Linked DNA regions of Arabidopsis thaliana. The protein of the gene in region 2 purifies or fractionates together with the protein of the main gene of each other region. This does not show direct contact. Each region holds a gene or a part of one and is shown on either strand. Other genes may lie near its edges. The genes, in order: AT4G28440 and AT3G27980.

The links.
Region 1: the proteins of AT3G27980 (region 2) and AT4G28440 fractionate together in Arabidopsis thaliana (co-fractionation; one large-scale study listed by BioGRID). This does not show direct contact.

Annotation. Positions count from the first base shown.
Region 1 is NC_003075.7:14,058,161-14,062,142, forward strand, and holds AT4G28440 (Nucleic acid-binding, OB-fold-like protein), read left to right. Parts: upstream 1-1,735; 5' UTR 1,736-1,893; coding exon 1,894-2,161; intron 2,162-2,616; coding exon 2,617-2,810; 3' UTR 2,811-3,226; downstream 3,227-3,982. Other genes in the region: AT4G28430 (Reticulon family protein), read left to right, coding at 1-223, 304-457, 550-624, 708-849, 953-1,022, 1,134-1,199, 1,284-1,612; AT4G28450 (WD repeat and SOF domain-containing protein 1), read right to left, coding at 3,564-3,726, 3,833-3,921.
Region 2 is NC_003074.8:10,391,867-10,396,568, forward strand, and holds AT3G27980 (Plant invertase/pectin methylesterase inhibitor superfamily), read left to right. Parts: upstream 1-2,037; coding exon 2,038-2,340; exon of another isoform or gene 2,341-2,380; coding exon 2,381-2,632; exon of another isoform or gene 2,633-2,949; coding exon 2,950-3,202; exon of another isoform or gene 3,203-3,309; coding exon 3,310-3,995; downstream 3,996-4,702. UniProt on the Arabidopsis thaliana protein: Acts in the modification of cell walls via demethylesterification of cell wall pectin.

The DNA.
Region 1 (3,982 bases), on a different chromosome or scaffold from region 2:
GGGCAAAATGGTCTTTTGGCCTCGCCGTCGCCGAGGAATTTCCGGAGGTCGAGACTAAGGTCGGAGGCGATGGTAGATACAAAGGAAAATACGGAGCCAATTGTTGTCGTGACCGATGAAAAGAAACAAAACCAGAGGAAACAGAAGAAGTTGGGTCGATCTAAGAAGGAGAAGCACAGTTCTGTTCCTCTGTTAGCTTCTCCTAGTCCATCTTCAGATCAACGTATGTCCTTCCTCTGTCTATTAGCTCATTCGATTTCACTTTCGTGCTCTAATAATTGCTCAATGATTTGTGTAATTCAGCTCAAGATGTTTGTCAAGGTGATTTAGAGCGGATTAGAGAGAATATAAGCGATTTGATTATGTGGAGAGATGTTGCGAAATCAACACTTTGGTTTGGTTTTGGCTGTATATGTTTCCTATCTACTTGCTTTGCTGCTAAAGGATTTAACTTTAGGTAACATTGATTTCTCTGTCAAGGTTTATCTTTCTAGCTTTAATCATTTTTCACATTCATGAGTTGATAATGAAACTTTGTGTGGTTTGAAGTGTTTTCTCAGCGATCTCCTATCTTGGACTTTTGTTTCTTGGGGTATCGTTCTTGTCAAATACTCTTCGCCAAAGGTACAAACTTTTAAGGTCCCAGTACATAAATATCAGCTTGAACTGCAGTTGACTGAAGTTTTGATCCATTTGTTACCATAAAGGGTTACTGAAGAAGCGCGGAGAGAGCTTAAATTGAGTGAAGATGATGTATTACGAATAGCTAGACGAATGCTTCCCATCACCAATTTAGCAATTTCAAAGACGAGTGAGCTTTTCTCTGGTGAACCAGCAATGACACTCAAAGTAGAATTTACAAAACTTTGCCATTCTCATAAAACTTCTCTCCAATGAATGTGACTCTCACGTTGATTTTGTCCTTCTTACACTGTTTTTACTTTGATTTCAGGTGGCACCTTTTGTTCTAATGGGAGCTGAGTATGGTTACCTCATAACATTGTGGAGATTATGTGCTTTTGGTATGATTGTTGAAACACTATATGTCAACATTACTCCAAAGAAAGCTAAACTGTTTTCTTTAGTTGTATCTAGTAGAATTGACACAGAGTATGCATTGTTTCTTTAAACAGGTTTCTTCCTTAGCTTCACTATTCCAAAGCTATATTCATGTTACGCAAGTCAGCTTAACCAAAAAGGTAAACTCTATTAACAGACTGCGTAGCTCTTTGATGGTTCCAATGATTGACACTAAGGATTCTTTGATCTTTGCTTATGTGTAGTTGAGTGTGCACAAAGGAGATTTGTTGAAGCTTGGGGAGTTTGCACACACAAGAAATTCGTAGCAGGCTCTGCAGTTACTGCATTCTGGAATCTAACTTCTCTCAAGACCCGTTTTATTGCAGTGTTTATCATAGTAGTAGTAATCAGATACAGACGACAGAATCTACAGTTAGATTCCGAGGATGAGGAGGAGAAGAAGCAACAAGAAAAAACTCACCCGGAGCAACAAAAATCGCCGGAGGATAAGTCAACTTCACCGCGGTCAGCAGAAGAAGAGCAAGCGTTGGTGCTAGTTGCAGAAACCAAAGCACCAAAGAAGCTTTATTAGTCTAGTCACTAGTGTCTTTTCAGTATCCACCTGTGTAATAATATTTCACATTTACGTAATAATAAATAAAGAGCAGTCATTAATATCAAATAATAAATTGACACGTGACAAGCTCATGAAACTGTGAGAAGCAGGTGATAAAAACTCTCGTCCGTCTTGGGAGAGAGCACATCGTCGTCTTTTCTTTATAAACCCTAAATTCCCATTTCTCTTCTCCAAAAGTTTTATCGATTCCACCAAATTAGGGCGAACGCGAAATCTGGGTATTGTAATTTGAAGCGATGGCGACGACTGGAACTGCTGCGGTTGCGACGGGAACTTCGACGGTGAAGAGAAAACCGGTGTTTGTGAAGGTGGAACAGCTAAAGCCTGGAACGACTGGTCACACGTTGACTGTTAAAGTCATTGAGGCTAATATCGTGGTTCCTGTTACCCGGAAGACTCGTCCAGCGAGTTCTCTGAGTCGTCCTTCTCAGCCTAGTCGAATCGTTGAGTGTCTCATCGGTGACGAAACTGGGTGTATCCTCTTCACTGCTCGTAACGATCAAGGTTATTGTTTCTCCACTTTTCTCTTGCTTTATGGATATAGAAATGGTGTCTTCGTAGTTTATTAGAGTGATAAGTCTTATCCTTTGTTGTTCTCTCGTTTGTCTTAATCAATTTCTATTTTGAGCAAATGGTAAATGTGTTTCTATTAGTACTATTTGGTAAATGATGTATCAGTTATTGTATGTGTATTTAGTGATGTCTTTGTGAAATTGAAGCTTGAAAGAATCTTGGCCTTGAGGGTCTGTAACTCTGTATAGTCTTACCTATAGTGATGATGAAACTTGCTTGGTTAGATGTTGAGTTATGTTCAATTGAATGGTCTACATTATCCCAAAACTTTCATAGCTTTTCATAATGTGAAGTTTTGTTATACCAGTTTTCGTGCAATTGATGTGGCTACTGATTAGCTCTAATGATGTTATTGGTTTTTTTTGTGTGTGTGTGTGTGTGTATAGTTGATCTTATGAAGCCGGGTGCTACGGTGATACTGCGCAATTCAAGGATAGACATGTTCAAGGGTACAATGAGGCTAGGAGTTGATAAATGGGGACGCATCGAAGCCACTGGAGCCGCGTCTTTCACTGTCAAGGAGGATAACAATCTGTCTCTCGTTGAGTATGAACTGATCAATGTTGGTGGTGATCAGTGATCTTTTAGTATGTTTATGGAGGTTAACCCCTGAGAGTGTTGGGTTCTGATTTTTCTACCGTGAAGGTCTTTGATTTAGATGATGAAGATTGTATGACTGGTCCAGAGTTGCTTGTAGGAATATGCTTCTTCTTTTTTACCCTAAAATATGCGGTCATGATCTTGCTCTGGAGAACTATTGAGCCTGCGGTAATGGCGTAATGCAATTGTTCCTTTTAATTTGTGTTGATGTAAGTTAAAGACCATTGAGAGCTTGCTTGTGCACTATCTAATACAGTAAAAATAAGTTTTTCTTTCTTAAACTTTACTAATGTCTTTGTTTTTTCATTAATTACTATTTGATGTACACTATTGTACCCTCTCGGTTACAGAGAGTTTTGCCCAACTTTTTACATCGAAAGCATCTCATCCTTGATTAATGTCATTGTTAAGACAAATTGTAAGTGCATAAAATTCATCGACGGATCATAGAACCATTGTCTAGTTAAGTCGGTCTAATTCCAAACTTTATAAATCTTTGAAATCAGAATGTTACTTTGAAGATCAGCTTTGTAACACCAAAAACGAATAGTTAATGAACACAATACGTAGTGAAGAGAAAAAAGAAAACGAAATGGGTAATAACTTAATGGCATAAAGAAAGGCTTACAACACAGCAAAAATGTTCATGTTCCTAATCTTACCCTCACTATACCAATACAATCCTCTCCACGTATCATCATCCTTGAAAGGAACAAACGGAGAAAGAGTAGAGTCACTCCACTTCTTTGATGATCTTTCTTTTGCGCAGAGGTGCTGTGACCACTGTTCCTGGAGCACTGTGAGCTTTCCTTCGTGCTTCTTTTCTTCTCTTCGAATCGTTCACAGTTCGAATGATACCCATCGCTTTGTATATTGGTTTTGGCAAGTGCCTGTGTCTGTAATTCACAATAACCAAAACGTTACCATGTTACTATAGTTATCTTTTGACAATCTCCAGAGTTAAAGCATGGGATAAAACCACAGTTTTCATTGGTCATTTACCTCACAATGCGCTTAACCTCAGAAAGATGCTTGTACCGGTTCTTCACAGCCTCGTTGTACTCATGCTTCTTTTGTTCCCTTGGAAGAATCTGCAGCACAACACACCAATTAACATTGACAATTCACCGTTCCAAGTTAAAACTTCTTAAG
Region 2 (4,702 bases):
AAGGTATGAGTTAAAAAAATCAACTTTAATACTAGATAAAAAAAACGAAAATTGAAAGAAAGCAAAATATTAGAAAAACTAGCACAAAACATACTGATATCTTATTGTATAAATTTTATTTTCAAAGTTAGTCCAGTCATTAATAAGATCACCACACATGACTCATAACTTAAACAATATGTAACAAACTTTTCATCTTGTGTGGCTTTTCCTTCATATCATATAAAAGATTTGGACAGTCAATCATATACATAATAAAAAATAACCTTATTTTTTGTAGTAATTACATAGGTATGCCATTAGAAATAAAAATTTAAAGAGTAAATTAATTCATCTTTTTAAAGGTTAATAATGTTTAAGACAATAAATTTTGTGATATGGCATATAATATTTTGAATAACTTTAACACTAACTAATTGAATATTTTCAATAAATAATCATACTCGCACTCATTAGTCATAACATCATCAATTTAATTCTTTTTTTATGGGATTATTATATGTACTTGATGACTAAAACTTTGAGAATATTTTCATGAATAATATGAATTTCTTCAATTGATTACAATATTTATCAAAAACAGCAGTTACCAAAAATAATAGTTTCATATTAAATTTTACACGTTGGTCATATAGGGAATCCTTGCGTACTGCATTCTGCATGGCATGTCAGCACAGTGAATCAGCATGTGATATAATTTTACTATAAGTAGAGCATTCATCAGTCGTGAATTTTCGGAATATATATTGATGATAACGTCGGTTGTTAAATGACACAAAAATAATGACGTCGTTTTGAGAACCGTTGTAACATCGTCGTAACAACAATATAGAAAAGACACAAGCATAAAAAAGAAGCCTACGCAACAATTACTACAACATCAATCTCCATATTGAATTGTCTTCTGATATACAATACCATTCCATGCCAAGCAGACTGAGACTTTATAAGTATGTGAAGCATCTCACGAGAGTTCTCAGTCAAATGCAACTCAACAAAGAAATCATAAGAAAGCATTGAGAAGCAAATTAGTTCATGAACCACATCACATCAGCATCCTGGAGACCAAAAAAGGAAGACAGTGAATCACTCAATAGAAGAACTGATAAGTTCTTGCTTTCAGTGCCAAGAGTGTAAGAAACATACCGCAAAAACAGACTACTAAACCCTTTTCAAGAACAATCCGAAGGAAATTGATTCTTCTCCACATCATTTAGCATCCAAAGCAATGACCACCATCTTTAGTTACAGCTCTACGCAGCACATCTAAAGCTTTCTTGTTCTTTTACCAATTCTAAAAATCTCAAAGAAGAGATCGATTCCAGATACAAGAGCTGCATAAGATTCATTCAAAGTTGTCAAAATTACAGTACCATTTTTTTACGGAGGAATGACAAGTTATGAGAGTGTATCTTTTCGGGTAAACATTGTAACGTAGTGAAAGTTGAGAGTGAATTGCGTAACAACCGATAGAATGAACCAAAAAGAAAAAAAGAACATCTTTTCTATCGCCCAAAAATAAATCTAAGGGTTTTCTATTTATTAGGTGTATATTGTCTTTTCTAGTACTAAAACAATAATGGCTAAGTCTCATCCTCACAAGAGATTAAGGTTGAGAATATATTGTATTGTTGTTAGCATAAACAAAAATAGATGAAACCAATTTCTACCAAATTCATTTTTTTTTAAGCCATTTAGAGTACATTGGGTAACAAGTATTTCAACTAAATTACTCTAAGACAATTCTTTCTATCTTTTATGAGCTGAAATATGGACCACTTTTCTTTTCTGTTCTTTGTGGATAATAAAACCAAACTTCACTGAATTATATCTTCAATTCACATTGCACTAAATTTTTAGATTGATCTCAAAATAAAGTTTTTTTCCTAAATATTGTCGTTTATCGAATACAATTAATTAAAGGATAAATTGATTAAGTTGCTTTGCTTTGTATATAAGACCACCATCGCTCCCTCCTCTTTCATCAGTTAAGATAATATAAATTCAGTAATTAAGAGAGAAGAAATAAATACAAAAATGTTGGTTAAAGTTTTCTCTTTTTTCATCCTTATGATAATAATGGTAATTGGCGTTAGCAAAGAATATTGTGATGACAAACAGTCATGTCAAAACCTTTTGTTGGAGCTTAAGGCGGGTTCATCGTCACTCTCGGAGATTAGACGTCGTGACTTATTGATCATCGTTTTGAAGAATTCCGTACGGAGGATCGACATGGCTATGATTGGTGTGATGGATGATACAAAACAACATGAAGAGATGGAGAATGATATGCTTGGTGTGAAGGAGGACACAAATCTATTTGAGGAGATGATGGAGTCGGTAAAAGATAGGATGATCCATTCAGTGGAGGAACTCTTAGGAGGAGAATTCCCACACTTGGCTTAGTAGCGTTCTTACTAGCTACATCACATGTATCGACGAAATTGGTGAAGGTGCCTATAAACGCCGGGTCGAGCCAAAGCTTGAAAACCTCATTTCTAGGGCAAGAGTAGTTTTGGCTCTTTTTATCTCCATTTCACTGAGAGACAACACCGAACTTATCTCGGTGATTCCCAATGGCCCTTCTTGGTTATTCCATGTTGACAAGAAAGATCTATATCTCAATGCTGAGGTAATAAAACAGAACCTTTATATTTTGAAGTTATAATTTGATAATCGTGAAAACCCATATTAAGGATTTACTTGATACTCAAGTAACAAATATTTAGGATTTTTATATTTACCTTTTATTGTAATTACTTTTAGGTAGATAATTCCTTTTCCTTAGAGATCAGCCCTTGTATAAAAATAGACCTTAAGGTCACGTAATGAAGAACACAATTCGATCGATATGTTTGACCCTCTTAACAAACCTTTTATCCTTTTTTTTCTTTCTTTCTACTGCTTATAGAATTTCTTCTGTTTCTTATAAAGCAGGCTCTAAAGAAGATTGCTGATGTTGTGGTCGCGAAGGATGGGACCGGAAAGTACAGCACAGTGAATGCGGCCATTGCAGCGGCACCTCAACACAGCCAAAAGAGATTCGTCATCTATATAAAGACAGGCATTTATGATGAAATCGTCGTCATTGAGAATACGAAACCCAATTTAACTCTTATAGGTGATGGTCAAGATTTAACCATCATCACAGGCAATTTAAGCGCTAGCAATGTTAGAAGAACGTACAACACCGCAACTGTTGGTAAGAATTTGTATTCTCTTCTTGAATAGTTTATAGTTTTCTCTTCTTTATACCAAACTATAACATTCTTAAAGACATTACTAATTATTCTAAAAATATGTTTGAAGCTTCTAATGGTAATGGATTCATCGGAGTAGACATGTGCTTTCGAAACACGGCCGGACCGGCAAAAGGACCAGCTGTTGCCCTCCGTGTGAGTGGTGATATGTCCGTCATTTATAGATGTCGTGTCGAGGGATATCAGGATGCCTTGTATCCTCATAGTGACCGCCAGTTTTATAGGGAGTGCTTTATTACCGGCACTGTAGATTTTATATGTGGAAACGCGGTGGCGGTCTTTCAATTCTGCCAGATTGTAGCAAGACAGCCTAAGATGGGGCAGAGCAATGTCATAACCGCTCAATCACGCGCGACTAAGGACGTCAAATCGGGCTTCTCAATTCAAAACTGCAACATCACAACAAGTTCGGATCTAGATACAGCAACCGTAAAAACGTATCTTGGAAGACCTTGGAGGAGATTTTCAACAGTCGCGGTTCTGCAATCTTTCATCGGTGATTTAGTTGATCCCGCAGGCTGGACTCCTTGGAAAGGAGAAACTGGTCTATCAACTCTCCACTACCGCGAATATCAAAATAGGGGTCCGGGAGCTGTGACTAGCAGAAGGGTGAAGTGGTCAGGATTTAAAGTTATGAAAGATCCTAAAAAGGCTACAGAATTCACTGTAGCCAAGCTCTTAGATGGAGAAACTTGGCTGAAAGAAAGTCGAATTCCATATGAAAGTGGATTGTAATAATGTTGTTCCATGCTTCACATGTATAACGTATAAAATAAAAGATATTATTCTTCTATAATTTTTTCCATGATTTTCTACAAAGATGGTAAGAAAGTGATATCTGGGAAATATCACGAAGGGCTTTACTATCTTGAAGGCATGGTTGTTAAGGCTGAAAAGAGTGTACCACATGCTGAAAATGGTGGAAAAAGTGTTGTCAAGGCTGTAGTTGGAGTGAGGAAGAAGAAGTCAAGGAAGGTGACTTTCAGCGTGAATTTAATTCAAAGGACCTACTCCATATGGCTTTGGAATCATCAGTTCAAGGTGGAGATGAATCCTCAACAGAAGAATCAGATTGTTTAGAGGAGGTTAAATCTGAGAAAAGTGAAGGACCTTCTGATGACAGCCACTGTTGAGAGATCAAAACAAGGAGTGGATGTTGTGTGATAGTAAAATGAAGGATGAAAGGATTACGATGCCAGAAAGTATCATTAAGAAAGGGGACACGTTAAAGTTGAAATGAAAGAGTTGGAAAAAGCTTCAAGGATTCAGGGAATGGAGGTTAACAGAGATAAAGCTAAGGGAGTTCTAGCTCTGTTACAAGAAAGTCAGGAAAAGGAAGCTAAGACTTTCAAAATGTATGAAGCTACAGTAGTTGGTACCAACAACATCTCATTTCAGATTAACGAGCTTAACTACAGAAGGGAAGGAATCGGGAACCAAAC